7 linked regions of the Macaca mulatta genome follow. The protein of the gene in region 6 interacts with the protein of the main gene of each other region in a biochemical or structural test. Links are inferred from orthologs where the notes say so. Each region holds a gene or a part of one and is shown on either strand. Other genes may lie near its edges.

Region 1 (3,500 bases), on a different chromosome or scaffold from region 6:
GAGTTCAAGACCAGCCCGGGCAACATAGCAAGACCTCATCTCAAAAAATGAAATAATTTTTTTTTTTAGAAAAAGAAAGTCAGTATTTCATTAATATATATTATAATACACTATAAAATGCCTGTAGAACAAAGAAACACGTTTTTTCTAGGTTCTGTGACAGCATCATTATCCATTCAAATTTTTCTCATAATTAGAACCTGACATTCTGGAAAAATACAGTAAATTTTCATTGATGTTACTTGCTCTGCCCCCCTTTTATTTCTCCCATTAATAATATTAATCCTGAAAAGAAGAAAAGAAAAAGGAAAAAAACCACCCAAGCGAAATGTTTAAGAAATACGGTACGGACAGTTTGGTCCCTTGAAAAATTAGAGCCACCAGGTAAACCTGTTCTGGGGTCCTCACATCTGTCCCCTTTTGGAGTTTGGTAAGTAGTACAGTTGAAGTGAATTTTTTTGTAACAAAAGTAAAAACTTCCAGAATAACTCCAGTAAAGGGTGTTGACGTGACGTACAAGTTTGGAAATATATTTAACATCTGAGAGTCCTTAATGTTGGTGTTACTTCCTCCAGTATAGAACAAACTTAATCTTTTGATGAAAATCATAGAGTTCCATAGATATGAATAGAATCTCCAACCGGTGCATCTTGAAGCCAGCTGCCACGGCCACTCATGCACCTTCTCTGTGCCCATTCAGGAGAGAATTCTCAACATCTCTGCTCAAAACAGTGTTTACTTTTAGTCTATCAGAGACTTCATGTTTGTTGTGCATGCACACTCACAGCTCTCCACACACATGCCCACTCCCCACACACATCCTGCTTCTGAGAAATACAACTAGAATTTCCTCTGGAGAAGAGGTGGAAACCCCTGATTGAGAAATTTAAGGCCTAGGAAAGGTAAATGACTTTTCTTAAGTCGCATAGTTCACCACAGAACCAAAGCTAGAATGCAGATACCCTCAGCTCTTCTTCCAGTGCTTTCAGGTATACAAGTATTTGAACAGGATTCAAGGTTTAACTCCTTATGTGTCTTTCAGTGTATCCGGTGTAAGTAAAATGTTGCCCCTTAGAGCAGCCTTGAGAATTTCTCAATGACTACAGACTTTGGTTAGTTCTATACAAGGGAAGTGAGAGAGAGATAATGTCATGACCAAATGACTTAACTTTTGAAAGCAGCCTATTGCAAACTTAAATAACTGGGGCATGTATTTTATTGATTGACCTGTAAGGACAGATATTTTAAAATGTAAATTCAAAACTGTTTTTTGCAGCATTCACCTATAGGCCTTCTATATCTGCTCTTTGTGAAATAGATGGCTTCCAGAGCATTAAAAAAAGAAATAGACATTTTCTTGGTTCAATAGCTCTAATCTGCTTTCAGAGTGATTTTTTAATAGTTAAGCATATTTTATGTGCACATAGTTTCATTTGCGATCTGAGAGGATTTCATCTAAAACTGAAAAGTTATTACTCGTGAAGGAGAACAAAGGAAAAGGAAAAAAAAAGTTTAAGAAAAAAAAATTGTTTTAAGCCTCTAAAGTTGCTTTATGTTCAAGTGGGTATTTTCAACCCTGAGTTGCTGAAATGATTTTTTATTGAAAGAAGGTTAAAAGTGTATTTCATTGAAAGCCAAGATAAACAGTAGATTTTGTATCATTTTAAAAATCAACAATTGGCTGGGCATGGTGACTCACGCCTGGAATCCCAGCACTTTGGGAGGCCAAGGCGGGCAGATCACTTGAGGCCAGGAGTTCAAGACCAGCCTGGCCAACATGGTGAAAACCTGTCTCTACTAAAAATACAAAAACCAGCCGAGCGTGACAGTGTGTGCCTGTAATCCCAGCTACCCAGGAGGCTGAGGCATGAGAATTGTTTAAACCTGGGAGGTGGAGGTTGCAGTGAACCCTGATTGTGCCACTGTAATTCAGGCTGGGCAGCAGAGCAAGACTCTGTCTCAAAAACAAACAAAATAAATAAATAAATATAAAAATCAACAGTGAAGACTCCCCAAACAAAAGAAATTGGGATTCTTAGCCAGTCATAGGTAAAGTGTTACAGTGTAAATTAAAGGGAAAGAAGACCAAAATTGGTGAAATTTGTTTGGTCCCAGAAGATAATTAAGATGAATAAAAGAACTTGAGAGTATTTTCTCATTATTAAGCATCTTCAGCTTTAAAGATTTTAGTTAGCAAAGCAAGTTTACATAAAGAAACAGTTTTCTGAACTGGGATGGCATTCACTAAGTTAGAAATCTCCAAGTCACCCATGTTTTCCCTGTTTTATTTGCAGCCATTCGTTATCTATGACATGAATTCCTTAATGATGGGAGAAGATAAAATCAAGTTCAAACACATCACCCCGCTGCAGGAGCAGAGCAAAGAGGTGGCCATCCGCATCTTTCAGGGCTGCCAGTTTCGCTCCGTGGAGGCTGTGCAGGAGATCACAGAGTATGCCAAAAGCATTCCTGGTTTCGTAAATCTTGACTTGAACGACCAAGTAACTCTCCTCAAATATGGAGTCCATGAGATCATTTATACAATGCTGGCCTCCTTGATGAATAAAGATGGGGTTCTCATATCCGAGGGCCAAGGCTTCATGACAAGGGAATTTCTAAAAAGCCTGCGAAAGCCTTTTGGTGACTTTATGGAGCCCAAGTTTGAGTTTGCTGTGAAGTTCAATGCACTGGAATTAGATGACAGCGACTTGGCAATATTTATTGCTGTCATTATTCTCAGTGGAGGTAAGATTTGTCTTTTGATCCTCTATGAAAGAGGGTGGGATGATGGTGGGATGGCCAAAAGAATTTTGGATTTCCTTATTAGTCTGCGTTCTTTGTCGCTTTAAGTGCCAATGGCATAATGCCATGAATCACCTCTACACGTGCAAAACACTGTACCAAGAAAGAGTATCATAAGTTTGCAGTATGAAAGTTATGAGTAACCCAGGATCTTCTCTTTCTTCCCTCAACAATATAGTTTTTCCAATCAAATGCCCTCTTCTTTTTCTTTTCTTTCTCTCTTTCTTTCCTTTCCAGAAAGGAAGATTAGAGGCCAATCTAATCTTTGGTTCCTGTAAGTAATGGCATGTATAACTTTGCTTAAGACAATGCTTACTTGACGTAGAGAAGGAACTACTAAGTGTTTCTGGTCAAATCATGCTCCTGCCCTTCCAACAGTAAGATACTACTTTGAATTGCTTTCGTGATATCAGGAATTAAGGCATACCTACTGACCTCCACCCACTCTCTTGTGTGGATTCCTCTGATGGCTTCCCTTCAAAATACCTTTGTGAGGTAGTTGGTTGTGATTAAGAATGCAATCTGAACCGAACACACAACATAGAAATAAATTTAGTTATTTAGCAATTTGTTGTATTTTTGGCCCTGCAAGTACATGATCTGACTAACCAGTTCCAAAAGCCAGATTTTTTACTGAGTGTGGCTTTTTTTTCCTTTCCTTTTTTTTTTTTTTTTTTTTTTTTTGTGAGACAGGGCCT
Region 2 (4,155 bases), on a different chromosome or scaffold from region 6:
TGAAAAACTTAACATTTATATGGTAGAATTTATATGGTATGTAGAAGATACAGATAACACTCAAATAAGGGGGATGGAACTAATTTTCTATTCTTGCTGTAATAAATTATCACAAATTTAGCTGCTTAAAATAACATATTTGTGGCTGGGTGCAATGGCTCACGCCTGTAATCCCAGCACTTTGGGAGGCCAAGGCAGGTGGATCACAAGATCGGGAGTTCGAGACCATCCTGCCTAACACAGTGAAACCCCGTCTCTATTAAAAATACAAAAAAAACTAGCCAGGCGTGGTGACGGGCACCTGTAGTCCCAGCTACTCGGGAGGCTGAGGCAGGAGAATGGCGTGAACCCGGGAGGTGGAGCTTGCAGTGAGCCAAAATGGCGCCACTGCACTCCAGCCTGGGTGACAGAGCGAGACTCCGTCTCAAAAAAAAAAATTTTTTTTTTAAATAATGAGTTATATTTATAGCTGTTATACCTGTTGACCTGAGGAGAATTTTGAGAGTCCACAGAAAAAAAAAAAAATTGTTATAGGTCAGAAGTCCCATACTGGTCTCAGTGGGCTGAAATCAAGGTATTGGCAGGGTTGTGTTCCTTCTGGAGGCTCTAGGGGAAAATCCATTTCCTGCTCATTCAAGTTGTTGGCAGAATCCAATTCCTTGAGGTCGTAGGACTGAATTCCCTGTTTCTTTACTGTCTATCAGCTGATGGCCATTCCCAGCTTTAAGAGGCTACCCACAGTCCTTGGCTCTGAGCCCCCTTCCTCCATCTTCAAAGCCAACAATGGCAGGTTGAGTCCCTCTCACATTTTGAATCTCCCCTGCCTCTTCTGTCATCACATCTCTGAGCTACCTTTCTTTCTTCATCATCTGCTTTTCAGAGCTCATATGATTAGATTGAATTTAATCAAATAATCCAGAAATAATCTCCCTGTCTTAAGGTTTGTAACCTTAATTTCATCTGCAAAGTTCTTTTCTGCTACGTAGTATAAATAACATACAGGTTCCAAGGATTAGGATGTGGAACAGGGGTGGCATCATCTGGCCTACCACAGTCTGCCCTCTGACCGCCACAGATTCACATTTGTCCCACAGGCAAAATACATTCACACCATCCTAAGATACTCATGAGTTGTATCCCATCACAGGGAGCATCCCAAGCTGGATTGGGGAGCTAGAAGTTAGTCTGGGAATGTTTAGGGAATGATGGTAGGGTTTGAGGACAGAGATGGAGAAAAGATGACAAAAAAAGGAATCCTCCTCCCCCTGACCTCTGCCCCTCCTATGTCCACAGCCTCTCAACTCAGCTGTTTGCCCTCCAGGTACCCCTGGGATGGCGTGAGCACTCCCCCAGCGATGGACCCATCTGTGACGCTGTGGCAGTTTCTGCTGCAGCTGCTGAGAGAGCAAGGCAATGGCCACATCATCTCCTGGACTTCACGGGATGGTGGTGAATTCAAGCTGGTGGATGCAGAGGAGGTGGCCCGGCTGTGGGGGCTACGCAAGAACAAGACCAACATGAATTACGACAAGCTCAGCCGGGCCTTGCGGTACTACTATGACAAGGTACAGTCTCTCAGACCAGGGCTGGGACCCCCCCTAACATTTATGTCAGAGATTTTATTTTGTTTTGATTGCCATAGCTATGACTTTGAAAACAATGTTAAAATTTATCAGTTTTTAACCCATCCATTGGTACTGTCAGGCCAGTATTGGGCCCCTAAGCACTATCTCACCTACTTTCTTGTCTTACTGCTTTGGCAAAAACCATCATTGCATTATTAATACTGACTCCTACTCCCACTCTGAGATCCCCACAGTGATGCTGCCCTGCCATGCGCATTTCATTTTCGTGTCATATTCCTATAGCCAACATTTTGAAAACATGGTTAATAATGGCTGGTCCTCATTCTGTCCTCTGGAAGCCCTAGACCAGTGCTGGGCTTCCCTAGTTATTTCATAATCTTCTCTTATTCCAGAATATTTCATATTCCTAGAATCAAAACCTCCCTGACAGTATTATACCAACTTTTGCTTACTTTGTCCTCTGGGACCCCAACATTTTTAACCAATTATTTTCTTATTCCTTAAGCTAAAACCTCTGTAACAACATGTTTAGTACCAGCTTCCACACCCTATCTTCTTAAATTCCCAGAGCAGCACTGGTCTACCCCAATATTTATATCAATTGTTTTCATTATCTTATTCCTACAGCTAAAATTTAAAATTTCCCCCATTCTGCCCTCTCAGACCCCCAGGCCACTGCTGGGTTTCCCCTCCCCCCAATATTTATACAAGTTATTTCATCTTCTTATTCCTCCTGCTGAAACTTCCAAACAATATTCATGAATATCCCTTTTCGTTCCTCTTTTGAGAAACACGGGCCCACCCTGTGACATATCTGACCAGCACTAAGACTTCCGCAGAATGCCCTAGTGCTCCCACACTCCTCTTGCCCGTGCCCCCAAGAACAGCCCTGGACCTATGCTGCATACCCTTCATAGTTTATGGCATTTATTCCACTTTCATATTTTATTCCTTGAGCTCAACCCTCCAGAACAATATTAGTAATGAGGCTCCCTCACTGTGCCCTCTGGGAACGCTAGGTCATCTCTGAGACCCACCAGACCTGAAAAACCCCAAACATGCTCTGTGACCCACCCAAGCCAGCCTTGATATAGGCCCTCTCCCAATATTTATACCAGTATTTTTAATATTCTTGTCTAATTGCTGTTAGTTACTTCATTTTCTTACCGCTTTAGCTTCAACCTCCACAGTGGTATTAATAATGAGGCCTCCTCGCCCTCTCCTCTGCAGTGACCTTGCCCTATTCCACTTCTGTGTCATTAGCTTCAAATAATCCTCTGTATTAATAATTCATCGCCCCATCCATCTATATTAATTTACTTTCTTCCAACATTTATATCAGTTACTTCATTTTCTTGTCTTACTGCATTTGCTAGTCTCCAAAACTGTGTCCTGACAGTCACCCACAAGGCCTGGCCTGTGAACCCCTGGTTCTTGGAGCCAAGAAGACTTGCTCCCACACCTACTACCTTCCCTTCACGGGCCCCATTGTGAAGAGGAGCCACAGTGTGGAGGGGGTGGGAAAATCAGATAGATAGACCTGGAGAGTGACAGAGGGAGGCTTGGAAAGGGGTGGATGGGAAGGGGCTTAAAGAAAGAATTGTTGTGGAGAGAAGAGAGAAAGGGGAGGAACTAGGGAGGGGTATAGATAAGGGGAATCTAGGGGGAGAGGAAAGAGGTAGAAACCAACGGGAGAGGAAATGGGCTGATAGGCTGAGAGGGGAACTTACAGAGGAGGGACAGGAAAGCCAGAGAGGGGCAAGTGGGAAGAGAGCCACTAGGAGAAGAGAAACACCACTCCACCCCAACATACACACACCCTGCCTCCAGCCTGCCCCTTTCCTCTCAGGCCCTCTGTTCCTCTCCTCCCTTTCTAGAACATCATCCGCAAGGTGAGCGGCCAGAAGTTCGTCTACAAGTTTGTGTCCTATCCTGAGGTCGCAGGGTGCTCCACTGAGGACTGCCCGCCCCAGCCAGAGGTGTCTGTTACCTCCGCCATGCCAAATGTGGCCCCTGCTGCTGTACATGCCACCCCAGGGGACACTGCCTCTGGAAAGCCAGGCACACCCAAGGGTGCAGGAATGGCAGGCCCGGGTGGTTTGGCACGCAGCAGCCGGAACGAGTACATGCGTTCGGGCCTCTATTCCACCTTCACCATCCAGTCTCTGCAGCCACAGCCACCCCCTCATCCTCGGCCTGCTGTGGTGCTCCCCAATGCAGCTCCTGCAGGAGCAGCAGCGCCCCCCTCGGGGAGCAGGAGCACCAGTCCAAGCCCCTTGGAGGCCTGCCTGGAGGCTGAGGAAGCCGGCTTGCCTCTGCAGGTAAGGACTGGAATATAGAAATCCAGTAAGAGGAGGCAGTAAAGAGGACGGATGTGTAATCCCCGGATGATGAGGGAGGCTGGTAGAAGAGACATAGTGCTCCTGTTAAAGGAGATAATGGTGGAAGGAAGAACACAGACATCCTCTTAGAAGGAGGGATGGGACAGAGAGCTACACAAACCCTGAGACAGAAAGGGGAGAATACTGTGCTACAGTTAGTAGCTGCCGAACATGTAGGTGCCTGAAAT
Region 3 (2,082 bases), on a different chromosome or scaffold from region 6:
TCGCCCTTTTCCTAGCTCCTTACAGCCCCCTGAAGCCCCGCCCCCTTTCTCCGGGCCTGGATTGGCCAAATAACCTTGAGTCGGCCCCTCATTGGCTTTTTCACTCCTACTGCACGAAGTGAAAAAGTAAAGTGCGTTAAGGCGGCTGAAGCACTTAAAAAAAAAAAAAAAGTACAGCCTGAACAACATGGCGAAACCCTGTCTCTACAAAAAATACAAACAACAAAAACAAAAAATTAGCCAGGTATGGTGGCACGCGCCTGTAGTCCCGGCTACTCGGGAGACTGGGGCATTATCACTTGAGACTGGGAGGTCCAGGCTGCAGTGAGCTGTGATCGCACCACTGCACTCTGGCCTGGGCGACACAGCGAGACAACAACAACAAAAGACCAGGCTAGAAAGGACAGATCGGGACTACCCCGGGGATATTGGGCTAACCCTGAGCAAGGGGACAGCTAATGCCAATCTGTAACAGTAGAAGGACAAGAAAAAGACAGTGATACAGTAAGAAAAGAACTTTATTATTAATGTTTCTGTGTAAAACTTAAGCTTTTTTTTTTTTTTTAAAGAAACACCACCAAAAGGGGATTAGCTTAGTCCATCCCTTCCTCAGTCATCTGCTTCCCACATTCCTCCACATGCTATCCCAAAACATTCTGGAGGCAGGGAGAAGGGGAGGCAGCTAATCAGAGTCTGAGAGCACGATGATCTCTTCTGGATCGCATTGTGTGGCCACACTTGTCTGCAGGGAAGTCAGAGACAAAGAGTCAGAGATCTAGAGTACAGGAGAAAAGAAACAGACAGGAGGATTTACAGGATAAAACGGGTGGGAAAAAGAGACAGGATGTGGCAGGTGCAATATTCAGACAGAGCAGCTGAAACAGACAATGAAAGAGAACAAATTATCAGAGGAAACACGGCCTCCCCTTCTTACCTTGTAAGTACTGGGCCGAGGAGGTTGTGATTGGGGGGTTTGGGACAGCTGGGCTGGAGAAGGGATGCAGAGGGAGCTGGTCACCAGGCCATGGCTGGGAGAGTCCACCCTCGTGGAGGAATCAGCAACCGGAGCCAAGGAAGCCAAGGGGGAAGGTGGGCTGGGCAGGGTACATATCTTTTTCCCATTCTTCTCATGCACTGACCTTTGCCTTTCCACATAGCTAGAAACCGAAACATAAATATGCGGAGGGGTAAGGGAAGACTGAGGCTGGAGGAGGGCAGTCCAGTCTCTCCCAGCAGACTCAGTTCCCCAATATTCCTCTCCGAAAGTCCCCTGCAATCCCTCCTTGGCTTCCCTCTTCCTCCTCCTGTTGTTATTACCTGTTTCCTAATGGCCCTGATCCTGTTTGCTTCTTCTCCTTCCGAGATTTTTTGCAGGGGGGACCAGAATCTCCCCAGTTGTGAGGAGAGACGCCTCCATTGAAGGAAGTAGAAGAGACCATGCCTGCCCCATTCTCTAAGACAGTGGTGAAGGGCTCCTCTGATTGCTTCCTGGAAGAGGAAATGTCCATCTCCACAGAGGAAGGGGTATCCAGGGGCAAAGCTTCAATCTCTAGCTCAAAGAGCTGAGACACAGGGCTTTCTTCCTCCAGGGTCAGCTCCTCAGGCTGTTCTCCATTGCTTTCAGCATCTATGCTGGAGGGGGCCAGGGGTTCTTCTGACAGTAACAAGGGTGACACTTTGTTTTGCTGCTCCCCTGAAGACCTGCTGATCTGTTTGCCAGGTTCCAGGTTCTTTTCAGTGGAGATCTGTGGTGAGGACATGGGGCTCCCGTCTCCATCTTTACCTGGAAAAGAAGAAAAGGGGAGAGGGTAGCCCGAGAATGAGGGGAAAAAATACTGCTGAGAGGACACTAGGAGGAGGAAGGGAAAGGTCTCAAACAGGTGGCTTATGCCTAACAAAAACAAATGACAGGTGAGGAGAATGTTCCCTTGACATACCTGCTGCTTCTTCCTCTTCCTCCTCCTCTTCATCGTCCTCCTGACCCTCCTGCATCTGTTCCAGATCCTCCTCCTCTTCAGAATCTGTGGCCTCCTCCTCTTCTTCTTCTTCCTCCTCCTCCTCCTCATCCTCCTCCTCTTCCTC
Region 4 (3,500 bases), on a different chromosome or scaffold from region 6:
TAGATTAGATTTAAAAGTTATTAAAAGAAATAAAGACTAGTATGAAGAACTATCACTCCTTAAACTTCACTTATGTTTAGGAAGTATTACAAATCATGGAACTTTTAAAATTAGAGTTGTAATGCTAACCTAAGTTTAAGACCAGTTACCTTATTTTTTGGAGGAAAAAGATTACATACAGTAATTCGCTACCTTGGTGGTTTCATATTTACCAAGTTCTAGCCTGAAAAATGTAACACTTATATTTCTAAAATTATATTTTACCCAAAAAGTATGCACAATGCCCAGATTAGTAAAAATTCAAGCTGTCCTATTGCTAAGTACGTATCAAGAATTCATGGGAGGAAACAAGACTCCCGCACCACGTGGAGTATGCACTGTTAAGTGTTTTAAAACATGCAAAGCATCACCGAGGTGGACCTGAGACACAGAAGATGACTGGATGGAAAAGGTCAGTGTGGAAATCAACATAAAGCTATGATCATCTACATTGGTATTTTTAAGTTTTACTAGGAAGAGAAAAAAAGGGATGGAGGTAGCTGATGTCATTCATTTACCAAAAAAAAAATAGTGTACTTCTGGAAAAGGGTCAGACTAATTGGGAAAATTAGCCACAGTCAAATAAATTCAATTAAAAAAAAAATCAAATTAGCCCTGGTCAAATAAATCCAAGTTAACAGGAAACAGTCTTTAGTCTGAAAAATAATATTTTAGTCTGAAAGAGTCTAATATTTAGGTAACATAACAGTACTATAGCTCAATGGATGAAATGGAAGATTCTAAGTAGGTTAATTTATAGCACACTGTTATTTAGAAACTAGTCCTGATTATATACATTTATACTTGAATAATTCCTTAACCATATACAAGCCCCATATTGATATGAGATGCTAGGTGGAAAGCTGTTCCAGGACTGTAGTAATAAGCAAACTAAGTCAGTTACAGATCTTTTTTTTAAAAGCCATGCACTAATGTGCAATGATGTTCCCAGTTACCTTGCTTGCTGTTTTGGATGTTTTCCTGCCAGGGTTATAGTCGCCTTCATTTTCAGAGCCAGATGCTTTCCTTTTCTTTGCCCCTCGGCCTTTACCTTAAAATGATACAAAAGGTTTTTTCTTCCATGGGTAAGTGCAATATAAAAAGATAAATGCCACAACATTGTAGTTTATTTCTTTGGCATGCCCAATCAGTGGAACACTGCAGTCCTAATCTCTTACTATGAGTGATTATAAACAACTTGGCAGTAGCATTTCAATTCTGGGATTGACATGACCAAAGACTTTTTCACAAATATATTTAAATTAATGGGAAAGTCCCAAAGACAAATTTTAATGATGAATCCCTTCATACATAAAACATCTGTATTTGCTATGTGGTCCTTGAGCCTGAAAAGGAAATACCTTGGAAAAGTATTTTTTAAATTACATGTGATTTAAATTTTTTTTTTTAATTTCTAATTTGTCATGGGCCAATACTTTTAAAAATACAATAGAACACAAATTACTAAAAAATGTAATCACATGCTGTTTTATTAACACAAAATTATCATCAAGGTCTAAATGTTTACTCAGTTTTACTTATCAAAGACTAGTAACAACCAATTGCATATCCCACGTTGAGTGGCACCATCTGAGAACCACCAGTATTGACTATAAAATGTCAAATACATATTCCTTCTCAGACCTAGACTTGGCACATGCAGCATTTTTTTCATCTACCTAACCTCTTATTCTCATCATTGGAGGTGAAAGGAGAAAAGGTAATATTTAAGTAGGGGCCAGATGTTCTCCATCCCACAATGATGCCAATGAAATAAAATAGAACTAAATAGCAATTAATTTTAAATCTTTAAAAATTCCTTGACAGCTAGATTGGACAAGTACAAAGATAGCCTTACATAATCTTGGCATGTCATATTTGATCAAATTAATCAGGGAAATAGCATTTTTGAATTGATAAAGGCTTTCAATCCTGCATATCATGAGTACTACCTTCCCAGTCCCTATGATTCTTTTCCACCCTATTATCCCCATTTCCCTTTGGTCCACAGCTCCTTATCCCAACCACTCCTTTAAGAAATAGAAGAGCCACACCGAGGAAGATATCCTTCAGTTGAATAAAAGATGGAGCAGCTACCCTCAGAGCATATCATGTCTTACAAACATATTTTATAAAGCATCTTTAAGGGCTTTCCAGATTCTGGAGACAAAGAAGGGATGCCACGGAGAACTGGAGCTGGTTCCTTGTGTGGTCCTGAGTACAGTTATTTCTTAGGTGAGAAAAAAAGTTCTAGCCTAAGAGTCCTGGATCTAGCCCATTACAATAAGTGTCACAGTTTAGTTAGTGTGGAGTGCTAATCTGACTTTTTAATAACAACTTTCAGTGAGTTGGCTGCAGGGGAGAATTTGGACCATTCTTAGGGATTCTTATTTAACCTCTTTGAGCCTCAGTTTTTTTAATTTGTAAAACAAAGTGACTGAACTAAATTGCTATACCTCCTTTGGACTATATTCAGCACTGATTCCTAGACACACCCCTTACTGAGGAGTAAAGCAATTTAAAACAAAATAGATACCTAGCCTCTCTAAATTCAATGAGGTAGAAAAAATTCCATCTTTTCCATACAGTATATGTTTAAAGGGTTATAAGAAGATAATCCTCACCTTTTGGTGTTGTAGTCTTCTTTGGAACGCCAAATTCTGAATCTGAGTCAGAGTTTACAGCCTCTACTACTTTCTTCTGTTTGGGGGCTCTCTTGGGCTTAGGGGCTGTATCTGAAGACGGTTTTCCTAGTAAGCAAATTTCCATTTCACAGGTCAATATACTTACCAACAAATCAAACTGAAGAGAGTCCTATATAAATGGAATTTCTCATAGCTGATTAGAAACTGAGTTGCCTGGCTGGGCGCGGTGGCTCACACCTGTAATCCCAGCACTTTGGGACACCAAGTTGGGTGGATCACCTGAGATCAGCAGTTCAAGACCAGCCTGGCCAACATGGTGAAACCCCATCTCTACTAAAAATGCAAAAATTAGCTGGGCATGGTGGTGGGTGCCTGTAATCCCAGCTACTTGGGAGGCTGAGGCAAGAGAATCGCTTGAACCCAGAAGGTCACAGTGAGCTGAGATCACGCCACTGTACTCCAGGCTGGGCAACAAGAGCAAAACTCCATCTCAAAAAAAAAAAATTGAGTCGCCTTAATGAAATGGTTTCTCTCTGCTTGGCGGCAATGTAAAGGCAAACAATTTCTCATAGATGACAAAATGCTTTTTATTTAATTATGTATAATTTGCCCTTAGGTAATACAATTAAGACATTTTAAGGAAGAGCCATTAAAAATAAATTAAGCAGTAACTTTTAAATATAGTCATGACAAAAGAGTAGCATATTTGATAAATTAATTATAACCCAAGTATAACCACAGATCAAGTCCTTTTAGAATGTTTTAGAGAAAAAAAAAATGTATGGGATCCTCAAATACAATGAATAGAAACCAACT
Region 5 (4,277 bases), on a different chromosome or scaffold from region 6:
AACTTTTTTTTGTACAAATATACAAGTCCATGTTCTTTCAGCCCCTTTGCGCTCATAATGTCAGACGCTGGCCTCCAAACACACAGTCGTCATAGGGCAGCTGAAAACAAGGGGAAAGAAGACACATTAAACTTCCGAAGCTCTGCCAAGCCACTGGGATGGGGAGGCCGCTACTGGAAATAACCCTTGGACTCCATTCTCCATAGCCCAAATACAATGAACTTTACAGGCTGAGGGAGTTTGCCTTTAACTCCCATTTTAAAAATGTTTTAAAAAATGCTTTTCTTTAAAAAAGGGTAAGCTATTTTAAAAAAAAAAAAAGGTACATTATTGGGATACTGGTTATGCACAGAAATTTGAGAGACTCATTATGTAGATACCCCTCTGATAAGGAGCAGTTCTAGGGGCCCGGGAGGGTGAAGGGAATGGTCCCTCATTAGTTAGAGAGCCCAAGGAGTTCACAGACTCACCTCATCCTCCGTGAACTCCGTGAACTCTGACTCTGTGTCATAGCTCTCCTCATCCTCACTCTCCGGCAGCATCTGAAGGTTTTCCAGTGTCAGCTGGCCCAGCTGCTGCTGTATCCGGGTGCTTGGGCGGCCCCAGGTGAGCTGGTAGGGAGAATAGCCCTGGTAGGTAACTCTGTTGACATCAGCCCCACACTTCAACAGGAGCGACACCAGGTCAGGATTCTGCAGGTCCACTGCGAGGTGAAGGGCAGTCCGGCCGTTACAGGGCTCCTGAAACCAAAAGGAATTTGAGATGCTTATGGCTGCGTTTGGAATTTCTGCTCACAACATGAGCACGGGGAACTTGACTCAGTGCATCGGAGGCAGGAAGCACTAACCTGAGCATTGACATCAGCACCCAAGGACACCAAAAGCTCCACAATGCCCAGGTAGCCATGGATAGAGGCTAAGTGCAGACACGTGTGGCCTGGAAGAACAAAACGAAAAAAGTATAACCACCTGTTTCAACCCTCACTCCTTTCACCTATTCTTTTATGGGACAAATAGTCATATCTTCTGAATTTTAAGAACCCACCGTCTGGGTTCTGAAGGAACTTTATAAAGGCATCCAACAGGCACTTTGCACACGTATTTTCTCAACCTTTCAAATGCTGGCAGTTTAAGTTCTTGCCTCGACTCCTTAAGTTGGCCCACCTGCCCCTTCTCCACATCACCTGCCACCTGAGGGGGTGGGGCAGGGCAGGGAGGCAGACATACCATTGTAGTTAGTAGCCTTCAGGATGGAGTGGAGGTGCGGGGTGGTGCAGGACTGAGTCAGGACTCCCACGCTGGCCAAGCAGCCCTGCTCACAGGCAAGGTGTAGGGGGGTATTTCCTCGAAAGTCTCGGAGCTCAGGATCACAGCCAGCTCCCAGAAGTGCCTCAGCAATTTCTGGCTGGTTGGTGATCACAGCCAAGTGGAGTGGAGTCTACGAATGCAGGAGAGACCAGAGAAAGTAAGCCAGGGACCAAACCCACACCCTGAGTTCCCCTGAACCCGTGTCTCCTGGTTGGGTGCTGCTCCTCCTGGACAGGCGGGTGGGGAGGACTGGCAAATAGCAGAGACTCCAGGTGGGTCACAAAGACCTCACCAAATCAGTGGAATTTCCTTCACTCTCTAGGATGTGGGCTGACGTGAAGTAAAAGGTGAGGGTGAATAATGCCCAGTGGCCCTGAATTCAGAAAGGATCTGGGGTGACTTTGCTACATCAGTTCCATCCCAGAGTTAGAGAGCCCGGGCCAGGCAAGCGGCGCACCTGCTGCAGGTTGTTCTGGAAGTTGAGGAAGGCCAGGTCTCCCTTCACCTGGCGGATCACTTCCATGGTCAGTGCCTTTTCTTCATGGATGATGGCCAAGTGCAGAAACCTGTGGGGAAGAGAGGGAAAAACCCCAGGGGTGGTGAGTGCACCGCGTGGGGCCCAGGGAGGCGCGGGCTGCGGGGGATTGCGCAAGGCCGGGGTTTCTGGAGGCCGAGGCCGCGGTGTTTTCCGCGAGGTTATTATGAGCTGAGTGTTCCTGGCAGGCGCCCAGGGACTTTCCGCCCCCCTCCCCCCGCGGCCCCGGCGGGCGCCGGCCAGACCGCCCCGCCCTCCCGCCAGCTCGGAACGCCCTGTACTTCCCCTCCCGGCTGCTCGGCGCCCGCCAGCGGCCAGAAACGCCTTATGCAACCGGGGACTTCGCGTCCCAGCTGCCGCCCCGCCCCCGGCCTAGAGGACAGGCCTGGGGGGAGGGGGCGTGTGGCGACGCTGCCGTCCACCAGGGCCCAGCCGCCGCCCCTCCGAGTCGGGCCGGTGCCCCGCGCGGCCCTGCAGCCCTGCAGCGTTCGGGGCGGTGCAGGAGCCCCGGGGCGCCGCGGCGCCAGCCCGGCTGCATCGCTAGTTCCCCAGGTCGGGCTCCAGGCCCGGCGTCTCCCACTCCCCGGCCGCGCGCATCCGGCCCTCCCGAGGACCCCCGGCTCCGGGTCTGCGCCACTTACGAGTCCCCGTCCTCGGTGAGCTGCTGCTTCCAGGGCTCCGCGCCGCGCGGCACCTCCTGCGGCTCGAGGCGGATCTCCTGCAGCTCCTTGACCATCTGCTCGTACTCCTCATCCTTCATGGAGTCCAGGCCGCTGTCGTGGCGGTCGTCCAGCAGTCGTTCCTTCTTCAGCCCGTCGCGGGGACCCTCCATGGCCCACTCCTGGGGGCGCTCGGCCGCCTGGAACATGGCGCGGGCGAGCTGCGGGCGCTGCTGCGGGTGCGCTGGGCCGCGGGCTGCGCGCTGCTTCCTCGCTAGGGCGCTGGCGGGCGGGACGGCGGCACGGGCTGGTGTGGGCTCTGCAGCGCCGCCGCGGCGCCCTATAAACGCTGGCTGGGGATTTCTCTGGGGCGGGGTCAGGCGCGGGGAATTTCCAAGCCAGTCAGACCAGAAAAGAGAACTGGCTTCGTCCTTTGCTAGGGGGAAAAAGAAGCCTAAACCCTGAGCTGGGGTTCGTCGGAGAAACTCCCTGCGATGAGCCACTGGGGTCACGGACAGGGAACTTTTTGATGAGTGCCAAGTGGCTGGAAAGTCCTTCCGACCAGGCCCCCTTCCCCGCGGTACTTCCCTGCAGCCTGCACCCTGTAATCCTGTCTCTCTGCAAGTGAACCTTCTTTCCCTGGGGTTTCCCACGATCGATTTGAATTGGGGTCGTCGGCTGCTGAGATCCCAAGGACGCCGACATGATGGGCGGTCCCTCTTTGGGGTTTGCCAACCTGCCGGTCCTTTCCGTTTTTTGATCTTTTGAAAACGCAAGAGTGGAAATGATGGCTGGGCGTAGGGATTTTCTTTCCCCAGACTTCTAAGGGGAAGGACGCACTGTGGTTATGGGGCTGCAGGCCGCTCTTGTGTTTCTGCTAATATCAGGCTCATTGCAGAACGGGGACGTTTAGCTTCGCGCCCTTCCTCCCCTACCCCCCACGCACCTCTGCCAGGTAGAACTGTGAAAGCTTTGGAGGAGTGGAAAGCCTAAATCTTTGGAAAACTCTCAAATCACTTCCAATCACTTCCTAGGGATGAACAGCCTTGTTGAGTGGGGGAGGGGCAAACTCTCCCTGTATGGGGAAACTGCTGAATAGGACCATGATTTTTTTTTTTCCCCCCAAGTAAAGCAAGGTGTTAATCTTTGTAGTGGTGGTTGTGGATACCTTGCAATAACAGAGTAGCTATTGTGTTCATAAGTAGCTGTTGCATTCATGCTATCTGACCTACATTGTGCTGCCGCAGAGAATGGATCCTGAGCCTACTTCTGGGCATCTAAACTGAGCAATTCGAGGAGCACTTAGAGAAGGAGGCTGAAGAATGAGTTTAGTTAGTGCCTTAACCGCGATTGGACCTTAAGGACCGCTAAGAAAGTAGTTGCCAGTCATCCTGCAGGAGGCTCAAGGCAGCCCCATCCTCCCATCCTGCCCCCCCCCCGCCTTGCTCCCTCGTCCTGGGGGATAGTAGCAGTTGGACCCATTCATGCCACCCAGGTAGAAAGGGGTTTTGGCTCACTATGCTCTGGTTTCACCTGCAGAAATGTAATTTATGCTCTCCATCCCACCTCCACCTCCAAGCCTGCAAGCCATGGACTGAATTCATCTACTTGGTAGAATTGGTACAGGCAAAATAAAGCACACTTCGGTCAGAGCTCTTCAGAATTAGTCCCAGGAGCCCTCTGTAGTTCTGCAGAGATTTCTGGTGATGATTGCAATCATCTTTACCTTGACTGGCCATGTACTAACCAATCCTTCCCCTCTCTTCAAATCTCCAC
Region 6 (4,300 bases):
GATCCTGCCTGGATGAGGCGCCTTTGCCACCCCACAATCCGACACCACTCCCGTCTTCCTCGGGGCCGCACACCTGCGTCGCCGTGACGTGAAGAGCAAGGGACGTTCTCAGCAGAGCCTCAGACAAGCGACAAACCCAAGTGACACCATGTCTCAGGCAAAGCTGAGACCTGCTGGGACTGCTCAGCTCAGGGGGACCGAAGCTGCTTTGAGTTTCAGAGTGAAACCCAGAGGGTGGCATGGGCCGGAGGGAACAAGGCCTCGGGCAGGACCAGCACCTCAGGGCTCTCTCCTTCCTTCAGGGTTCACCAGCATGAACCTTATGTGCACACCAGCCTGGAGTCCCCGGCCAAGTGCTTCACGGGAGCCGGGCAAAGACGACAGGCACACAGGCCGCCCTGCTCCCCACAGACACACAGGGGGCCCCAAGCAGGCATCCTAGGCTGCTGTCGCCAGTCCCTGTGCCCCAGGAGGTTCTCCAGGAGGCGGCTTTACGCCAGGGTGGCTCTCCAGCAAACCCAGCTACCGTGACCTGAGCCACACCTGGAAGGACACAGCAGAATCCCGGGTTCCAGCCTGCAAAGGCTGCCCGCCCTCAGGCCTGCTCCCAACACACACCAGAGCCCCTCCCCTCTGCCACAGCTCAGCCCTGTGCCCAGCCTGCTTCCTTCTCAACCAGAAATGCCCTCGGTGGGGACACAGCTGTCACCCCAACCTTGCCAGCACCACCTTCTGAGCTCAAGTCCGCACGGGGCGGGGGCCAGGCCACAGCTGGGGATCTGACCTGTTGTCCGCAGCCCGTGACAAGGGCGGCCGTCACAGACGGCAGGGGCTGAGCAGTTTCCCCGTGGCGTTGCCACACGCATCTGTTGAGCCCCGACAGGCAGGAGGCTAGCAGCGCGCGCCTCTTACCCCTTTCTTTCCTGGAATGGCGCACTCCCAGTTCATGAGGTTCATCGTGCCATCGGGATTTTTTGTTGGGACAGCCACGAAACCCTGAGAGAAAACAACCACAAAAGCACATCAGTGCGGTGGCATCTCGTTTGACCAAAACCACCGAGAACCGGCCCGCGAGCCCCACCAGCGCGACCCAGGCACGCGGCCAGCTCCCTCCCAGTGGTGGGGGGCACGGTTTCAGCCCAGGGGGGCCGTCCGCGGCACTGCACACGGAAACGAAGCCCTCCTTACAAACGGGTGGTCTTTCCTCCATGCTTTCCTCTCCTGGGCGAGTCTGCTGAGGGCGATCCCCGACATGTTCAGAGTCCCTGGAACACAGGAGGCAGAGCACGGGGTCAGGACAGGCTAGCGGGCTCCTGCGGCCCCGCCACGTGCACACGGCCCGCAGTGGGCAGTCTTGCTCCTAACAGGCGCCAGCCCAGCCCAGCAGAGACTCTCCTCCTGGAAGCCGTCGTCCGACCCCGGGGTCTACCAGGGGAGGCCTCATGAGTGGATCCCAGATCACCGGGGGTGGGGGGACAGGTAGGACCCCTTCCCCATGGGCCCCCCGAGCCCTGGTCTGCGACACGTGCCGCGGCCTCTGCTCCACGGTGGAGACGGATGTTCAGAGGCTGGGCTGCTGTGGCTGGGCGGTAGCTGCCACCCTGTGGTGGCTGGCGTGGCAGGGTCCTCACTGAACCGTCAGGTGGGGACTAGGCAGGGCTGGGTCCCAGCCTTACTATCTGGGTCCCCGCCTTACTATCAGGCGCTCAGAACTGAGACTCAAGCCGGGCCAGGGGGACACCTAATATTGTTTTTTTTTTTTTTTTTGAGATGGAGTCTCACTCTGTCCCTCAGGCTGGAGTGCAGTGGCACTATCTCGGCTCATTGCAACCTCCGTTTCTTGAGTTCAAGCAATTCTCCTGCCTCAGCCTCCCGGGTAGCTGGGACTACAGGCCCCCGCCACCATGCCCGGCTAATTTTTGTATTTTTAATAGAGATGGGGTTTCACCGTGTTGAAGACAGAGTGGAACAAGTACCACAGGGCAGAGGCTCAGCCTCGCTGAAAGAGGAGCCCCCCACAGGGCCACCGTTCCCGGACCCTGCAGCCGCTAGCATGTCCCTGTGGCTTCAGGGGACAGACGGGTCCTGTGGGGCAGGGCAGGAGCATGGGGTACGGGACCAGGTCCCTGGTCAGAGGCAGCGGCACACACGCCAGATTCCAGCTCCACACTTCTCCACGGGACCTCAGGGGCTTGGCACCTTTGCCTTCTGGTTCCCAGCGGGAGCCTGTCGGCCCGCACTGTCCCCGGGGACACCAGGCAAACAGGGCCAGCAGCCTCGACACCAGCCTCACCTGTCACCCTACTGGTGGTCACCTTTACCATGAAAAACAGCACTCAGGGCACAAAACCTGCCAGAGAATTCAAGCCCAAGTGTGTGCTGGTTTTCAAAGTCCACGGGAACACTGAAGCTGCCTCCAAGTCTGGCATCTCAGCGCCAAGCAAGGGCCACCTCGACAAAGCTGGGGGTTGCGCCAGGCCTTCCAAACCGTGGGGGGCCGTCCCTACAAGGGCCCTGGTGACCTGGATGGCGCCCGCACCTGTGCAGGCCCACGAACCTCACACACCTCACAGCTGCAGGAAGGGGCCAGGTCAGCAGCTCCACCTGGGCCAGAGCCGCCGCAGCCTCACCTGGCACTTGTTAGGGAGGCAAGGCCCAGTCCCCAGCAGACTCATTGAGGAAGGAGCTCCGAGAGGCCCACATTCGGGTTTTGGGCGGCACGATGGCTTCCCGAGGCAGCAAAGCAGAAATCAGGGGTGGGGCTGGGATCAAGGAAGCCCAGGCGGGTCCAGTGTCGCCAGGGAACCAGGGTGCTGGAAGCCAGGCGGGGCTGCTAGAGCCGCCTGCCCTGCAGGTGGATTTGGCTCCTTTTTAACCAAACACGGATCCTCAGGGCAGCCTGAGAAAAATCAGGCAAAGGAACCCGGGTCCTCCAGTCAGTAGGTGCTGGCATCACAGCGAGAGGGTGACAGGGGCCATCCGGGCACTGGCCTCCAGCTACACGATTAAGTCCAAGACAGGTAGCCCCAGACTGGGCCCCACCGGGATGTCCCTCCCCATGCCCTCCTCACAGGGATGCGGAGGAGCCCGCAGGCCGCCTGCCCTCTGGACCACTTGCCCATCCCCATGCCCTTCTCTAAGTGGGGGTGGGGGGAAGCCAGGGGCCAGAAAGGGAGAAAGTGGGGGACACAGCTGGGCTCAGCTGTGGGCAGGCAGGGTTCGAGCCCAGAGTGGAGTGGAGCTCCCGCCAACCACGGTTTCAAGGCTCTCTCTGCACGTGTCTCCACCCTCCACTTCCACATGGAGCAGCTCAGTTGTGGCTTGAGGACTCACAGCTCTCGCTTCCCCAGCCCCAGGGTGGGCTTCATGAGTAGCCACAGCCTGTGCCTGGTGCGGTGCAAAGCAGCCTGGTGAACGGCCGTTTTGAGGAGCCACGACCTCCCAGGTGCCCGGGGTCTGAGCGGGGCCAGGAATCAAGCAGGTCTCTGAAGCCCCAGGCCAGTGCTCCAGACACTGAAGGACCAAGGCCAACACGATCCTCACAGCCAGGCAAGGCCAGGCCCCAGAGAGGCCAGCCCCAGAGAGGCCAGCCAGGCCTGGAACCCTGCCACAGGTAGCCCTCCTACTGAAGACCGGACAGAGCCACCTAGAGGCCCCCGTCCCAGCACCTAGCTATTGCTGTCTCAGATGTGAGAAGTCGTGAGGGTGCTCCTGTGAGACCTCCCGCCAAGGTCTGGCTGATGCTGCTGTATCCCCTGCCCCAAAGCACTCAGCACCACAGGGTGGTCTCACAGGAAACTGCACCACAGGGCAAGGAGCCACAGGTGCACACCCACCCTGTCCTAGGCAGAAGCCAGGCCCCTCCCCCTGCTCCCCCTCCTACTGGCCTCCTGGAGAAAGTGGCCAATGTGTTACAATGTAATCACAACACAGACGAAGCATTCAAAATCCCGCTGAAAATCGAATTTGCCCTTCCAAATTAACAGATAAGCACTAAGTGAATGGCTAGCAGTTACTAGACCCTTCAGAGCAGGGAACTTATATGAGGCAAAGACAAAAACAACCCTCATCTATCAGAGCCAAGCAAGGCCCAGACACTGCAGCAACCAGGACAGGGCCAAGCACTCCAGGAGTGGCCTGAAGGTCTGCCTTCTGTCCTGCTGGGCACCCGCGACCGGCTGAGCTTTAGCTTCTCGGATCACCACCTTGCTCTGCTGGTTGACAGCACCGACTTCCGAGCAACTTCCTGGCTGAGGGTGAGCAAAGCACTCACCTCTCACAACTCCACCGCACTCATCTC
Region 7 (3,246 bases), on a different chromosome or scaffold from region 6:
ACCCAGAGAATGCCTGAATCTAAGGTGCCATCCTCTGAGAATCATCGCCCAGAAATGTGCTCTAGCTGCAGTGTTCCTCTTCCCATTGGAGATAGCAGCTCCTTCTCTGGGAGTTGTTCCAGCAGTCCAGAAAGGATAGTTTCTCAAACTTCCTCTGTTGAGAACCCATTGGAGAACCAGAAAAATGATCAAAATAATTCAGATACTAAGATCTCTGAGACAGAGACCCTTAAATCGTCACAGAATTTTCAGACTCTGCCTTCATCTCCACTTCTGGTCCCCCAAGAATCTTTGGCCTCTTCTGAGGTCAAAGAGAATTTATGTATAGATTCTTCTTCAGCTTCACAGCATGGACGGGATGCCATCCTCTATCTCCAGACACAAGTAGCTGAAATGTCCCGAGTGATACGTGATCTGCAGTCCAGGAGCTGTTTTAGATTTCATCATTCTAGGCCAAGTGAGAACTCCTCAGTTCCTTGGGACATCTCCACCTCTAAGGAGGAAAATTTATCCACAGTTGAAGAAGAAACTGATTACAAATCACCATCAGCTGATGACAAAGGGCAGCCATCTGACCCCAGCCAATCTAGTTTCACAGGTCTTTTGAAGAGAATGGAACAAAGAGGTGTTATAAAAAGGGTGACATTACAATCTGAAGCAGAGTCATGTGAAGGGAAACCTGATTGTGTGACTTCTAAAAAACGTTTGGTTCCTCCATTGCATCCTCTTCTGAGAATTGCCACCACTGAGGTTTTTAAAGACCCTGCTGATTGCCATCCTTCTTCCTTCATGGGACACAGGGTATATCCTGTGGCCAAGGACACCTCTCCTTTCCAACCAAACCCACCAGCTGAAGGCCCCATTGTAGAAGCATTAGAACACAGCAAAAGAGGAAATACAACATCCCCTCTAGATTCTACCTCAAAAGAAATGGAGGTCATGGGTTGTAGGTTTTACCATGCTGCCTCCATTGCAGCCCGAGCTGCTAGCTACATGGCTTATATGACTCAATATCAGCGTAAACTCTGGGAAGACATGGAAGATCTGGTTCATGACCCAGAGTTTGATCGTGGAAAAGCAAGATGTATAATATCTGATGGTATGGATGCAGGCCTTTGGCAACTTTGTACTACTAGGGACATAATGGATTCTGTAGTCAGAGTTATGGCCATGGCCATAGACTATAGAAGGCAGGCCTGGCTTCGACTTACATCTCTTACTAAGAAAACCCAGGAGAAGATCTCCCACTTGCCCTTTGATGGTACTTCCCTTTTTGGACAAGATGTAAAAGCTGTTGTTGCAGAAGAGAACAGTATAAAAGAAAATGACTATAAAGATCACAAATACTATAATCAGCATCGATACTTTTATAGTCATGATCAGAAAGCACATTATCACAATAGAGGATACTCCAAAGGGGATTGGTACAAACCTCGAAACCACCCCTATAGATATAGAAAGAAGGGAGACTCTCCAGAACGCCATGGGTACAAGAATTAATAACCTGTTTTATGTTCAGCAGAATAGTCATTCAAGATCCTATTTTACTTGTTCCTCCTCGTACAAATAGGATCTACAGGTAGGAGATCATCTCAAAAACTGAATGCATGTCTGGAATGATCACAGCTGACATTTGAATTGTAGACTTTTGAAATGAGGTATAAAATAAACTCATGACTTACTGACCAAGTGAGCAGTGGAGACTTTCTTGAAAGGGTTGGACAAATGTTTATCCTTTATTTCTGGTCCAAAAATAAGTTTGGAGGAGGGCCACTCAGGAATCTGAATCCTCTTGTGATTAAAGAAAAATATAAAGATTTGTTCCTCAGGAAAATCTTATCTGTAAACTGAGGACTAGCAGATATTTTGAATCTAGAAATAACCTAATACTAGATCTCTGTTTACTAAGACCAGAGGTAAATCCTTCATTTTTAGGTTATCAGTGCTTCCTTGTTCAGGCTTCAGTTTGACAGATCTTCACAAAATGACACATCTGTTAAAATGTCTTTATGTCAAGATGGTCAACTCACCAAGAGTTCATACTACTGTCAAGCTCTGTGAGACTTCAGAATCAGCCATGAAGCTTTGTGTCAACTGGAATTCAAGTCAAATTTTGCCAAATCCAGTTTGCTTCCCCTTGGAATGGCTAGATGTCACAGGTCTTCTATGGACACCAACTGGAAAAAGACTTCTACCTATAACATCTCTGTAGAAATTGCACAGTAACTATCTTCATCAAGACTTTGATGGCCACCATACCATCACTACTCATAAAGCTACATGTGAGAGAGTTCTTTGTTGTCATCAGTCCTAATAGTCTTTGACCTATCAAGCTCTCATATCAAGTTGTAAGACTGAGTCATGGTAGTCTCTCACTGTAAGCTGGGCCTTTCACCAAGATGGCCTTCTTAAACAACCTACCTTCTAAACATTTAATTCTTTTGAGCTTGATAGTGCATCACACTCTAAATACAAAAAAGATACGCACATCAGTGCCCTGGAAATAAAGGATGTTACACGATCCAGGCATGAAAATCTGAACTCCTAAGAGCAAGAATTCCAAACATGCCTGACAATCTTCTCCCCTTACTGTAATAAAGAGGGATACCATCAGTCTAGATTTTATTGGGAATCCTTAAGATTTAAAGCATAGCTGTGGATTTAGTGAAGAGAACATGATATCCATTAAGGATTTGAAAGGCTGAAATCAAGACTTCAGTGATACATTCTTGGTTACTTGGTTACTTAATTTAGTCAGATTCTTAGTGTAAGAGACAGCTTATCTTTTTGCTCCCAGTTGATCCCAGTAATAGTTTTTCACCGTACTGGAACTGGCAGCAGATACCTCAGTTATATGTCCCACAGTATCTTCTCTTTAGACTCAAGGTAGTGGATGTGTGGTATATCAGCCCTTAGATCCATGTCTTCACAGCATGACATCAGGAATGGAGAATATGTCAAGTTTGAGGGGTCTGAATACATCACCTAGTATTATTTGCTTGGCAGCCAAAACCAGTTGTTTTTCTTTTAATTGACAGACTTAATTCTGTAACTTCTGTGTTTTTTCATCTGCTTGGTCGAGGCATTTTGGATATACTACTAATTGAATATGGCACTGTTTTATGGTGTATGTGGCTTCTTGCCATAGTTGTTGCACAGTGGTAATTGACATTTTCTCTGGTGCCACGATTTTTAATAGTTTATTGGAAGCTCCTTCCTCCTCCCCCATCATAACTATATTCAGCA

What was found.
Region 1: of the proteins of UBE2I (region 6) and PPARG, one has a biochemical effect on the other in vitro, tested with the Homo sapiens proteins (2 studies listed by BioGRID). The link is inferred for Macaca mulatta from reciprocal best matches to the Homo sapiens genes UBE2I and PPARG.
Region 2: of the proteins of UBE2I (region 6) and ELK1, one has a biochemical effect on the other in vitro, tested with the Homo sapiens proteins (3 studies listed by BioGRID and IntAct, with this or other methods). The link is inferred for Macaca mulatta from reciprocal best matches to the Homo sapiens genes UBE2I and ELK1.
Region 3: of the proteins of UBE2I (region 6) and DAXX, one has a biochemical effect on the other in vitro, tested with the Homo sapiens proteins (5 studies listed by BioGRID and IntAct, with this or other methods). The link is inferred for Macaca mulatta from reciprocal best matches to the Homo sapiens genes UBE2I and DAXX.
Region 4: the proteins of UBE2I (region 6) and TOP2B form a complex in vitro, tested with the Homo sapiens proteins (2 studies listed by BioGRID, with this or other methods). The link is inferred for Macaca mulatta from reciprocal best matches to the Homo sapiens genes UBE2I and TOP2B.
Region 5: of the proteins of UBE2I (region 6) and NFKBIA, one has a biochemical effect on the other in vitro, tested with the Homo sapiens proteins (2 studies listed by BioGRID). The link is inferred for Macaca mulatta from reciprocal best matches to the Homo sapiens genes UBE2I and NFKBIA.
Region 7: the proteins of UBE2I (region 6) and ZNF451 form a complex in vitro, tested with the Homo sapiens proteins (2 studies listed by BioGRID and IntAct, with this or other methods). The link is inferred for Macaca mulatta from reciprocal best matches to the Homo sapiens genes UBE2I and ZNF451.

Annotation. Positions count from the first base shown.
Region 1 is NC_133407.1:151,232,491-151,235,990, forward strand, and holds part of PPARG (peroxisome proliferator-activated receptor gamma), read left to right. Parts: intron 1-2,294; coding exon 2,295-2,745; intron 2,746-3,500. UniProt on the Homo sapiens protein: Nuclear receptor that binds peroxisome proliferators such as hypolipidemic drugs and fatty acids.
Region 2 is NC_133426.1:47,662,166-47,666,320, reverse strand, and holds the start of ELK1 (ETS domain-containing protein Elk-1), read left to right. Parts: upstream 1-1,355; coding exon 1,356-1,565; intron 1,566-3,463; coding exon 3,464-3,907; intron 3,908-4,155. UniProt on the Homo sapiens protein: Transcription factor that binds to purine-rich DNA sequences. Forms a ternary complex with SRF and the ETS and SRF motifs of the serum response element (SRE) on the promoter region of immediate early genes such as FOS and IER2.
Region 3 is NC_133409.1:148,970,417-148,972,498, reverse strand, and holds the end of DAXX (death domain-associated protein 6), read right to left. Parts: coding exon 1,938-2,082; intron 1,784-1,937; coding exon 1,318-1,783; intron 1,158-1,317; coding exon 935-1,157; intron 743-934; coding exon 683-742; 3' UTR 501-682; downstream 1-500. UniProt on the Homo sapiens protein: Transcription corepressor known to repress transcriptional potential of several sumoylated transcription factors. Down-regulates basal and activated transcription.
Region 4 is NC_133407.1:22,873,951-22,877,450, reverse strand, and holds part of TOP2B (DNA topoisomerase 2-beta), read right to left. Parts: intron 2,790-3,500; coding exon 2,664-2,789; intron 1,091-2,663; coding exon 996-1,090; intron 1-995. UniProt on the Homo sapiens protein: Key decatenating enzyme that alters DNA topology by binding to two double-stranded DNA molecules, generating a double-stranded break in one of the strands, passing the intact strand through the broken strand, and religating the broken strand.
Region 5 is NC_133412.1:108,520,589-108,524,865, forward strand, and holds the start of NFKBIA (NF-kappa-B inhibitor alpha), read right to left. Parts: upstream 2,801-4,277; 5' UTR 2,711-2,800; coding exon 2,484-2,710; intron 1,874-2,483; coding exon 1,765-1,873; intron 1,438-1,764; coding exon 1,227-1,437; intron 937-1,226; coding exon 848-936; intron 741-847; coding exon 471-740; intron 101-470; coding exon 53-100; 3' UTR 1-52. UniProt on the Homo sapiens protein: Inhibits the activity of dimeric NF-kappa-B/REL complexes by trapping REL (RELA/p65 and NFKB1/p50) dimers in the cytoplasm by masking their nuclear localization signals.
Region 6 is NC_133425.1:2,512,388-2,516,687, reverse strand, and holds the start of UBE2I (SUMO-conjugating enzyme UBC9), read right to left. Parts: upstream 2,801-4,300; 5' UTR 2,631-2,800; intron 1,266-2,630; 5' UTR 1,255-1,265; coding exon 1,189-1,254; intron 997-1,188; coding exon 913-996; intron 1-912. UniProt on the Homo sapiens protein: Accepts the ubiquitin-like proteins SUMO1, SUMO2, SUMO3, SUMO4 and SUMO1P1/SUMO5 from the UBLE1A-UBLE1B E1 complex and catalyzes their covalent attachment to other proteins with the help of an E3 ligase such as RANBP2, CBX4 and ZNF451.
Region 7 is NC_133409.1:125,191,066-125,194,311, reverse strand, and holds the start of ZNF451 (E3 SUMO-protein ligase ZNF451), read left to right. Parts: upstream 1-1,500; 5' UTR 1,501-2,246; coding exon 2,247-2,282; intron 2,283-3,246. UniProt on the Homo sapiens protein: E3 SUMO-protein ligase; has a preference for SUMO2 and SUMO3 and facilitates UBE2I/UBC9-mediated sumoylation of target proteins. Plays a role in protein SUMO2 modification in response to stress caused by DNA damage and by proteasome inhibitors (in vitro).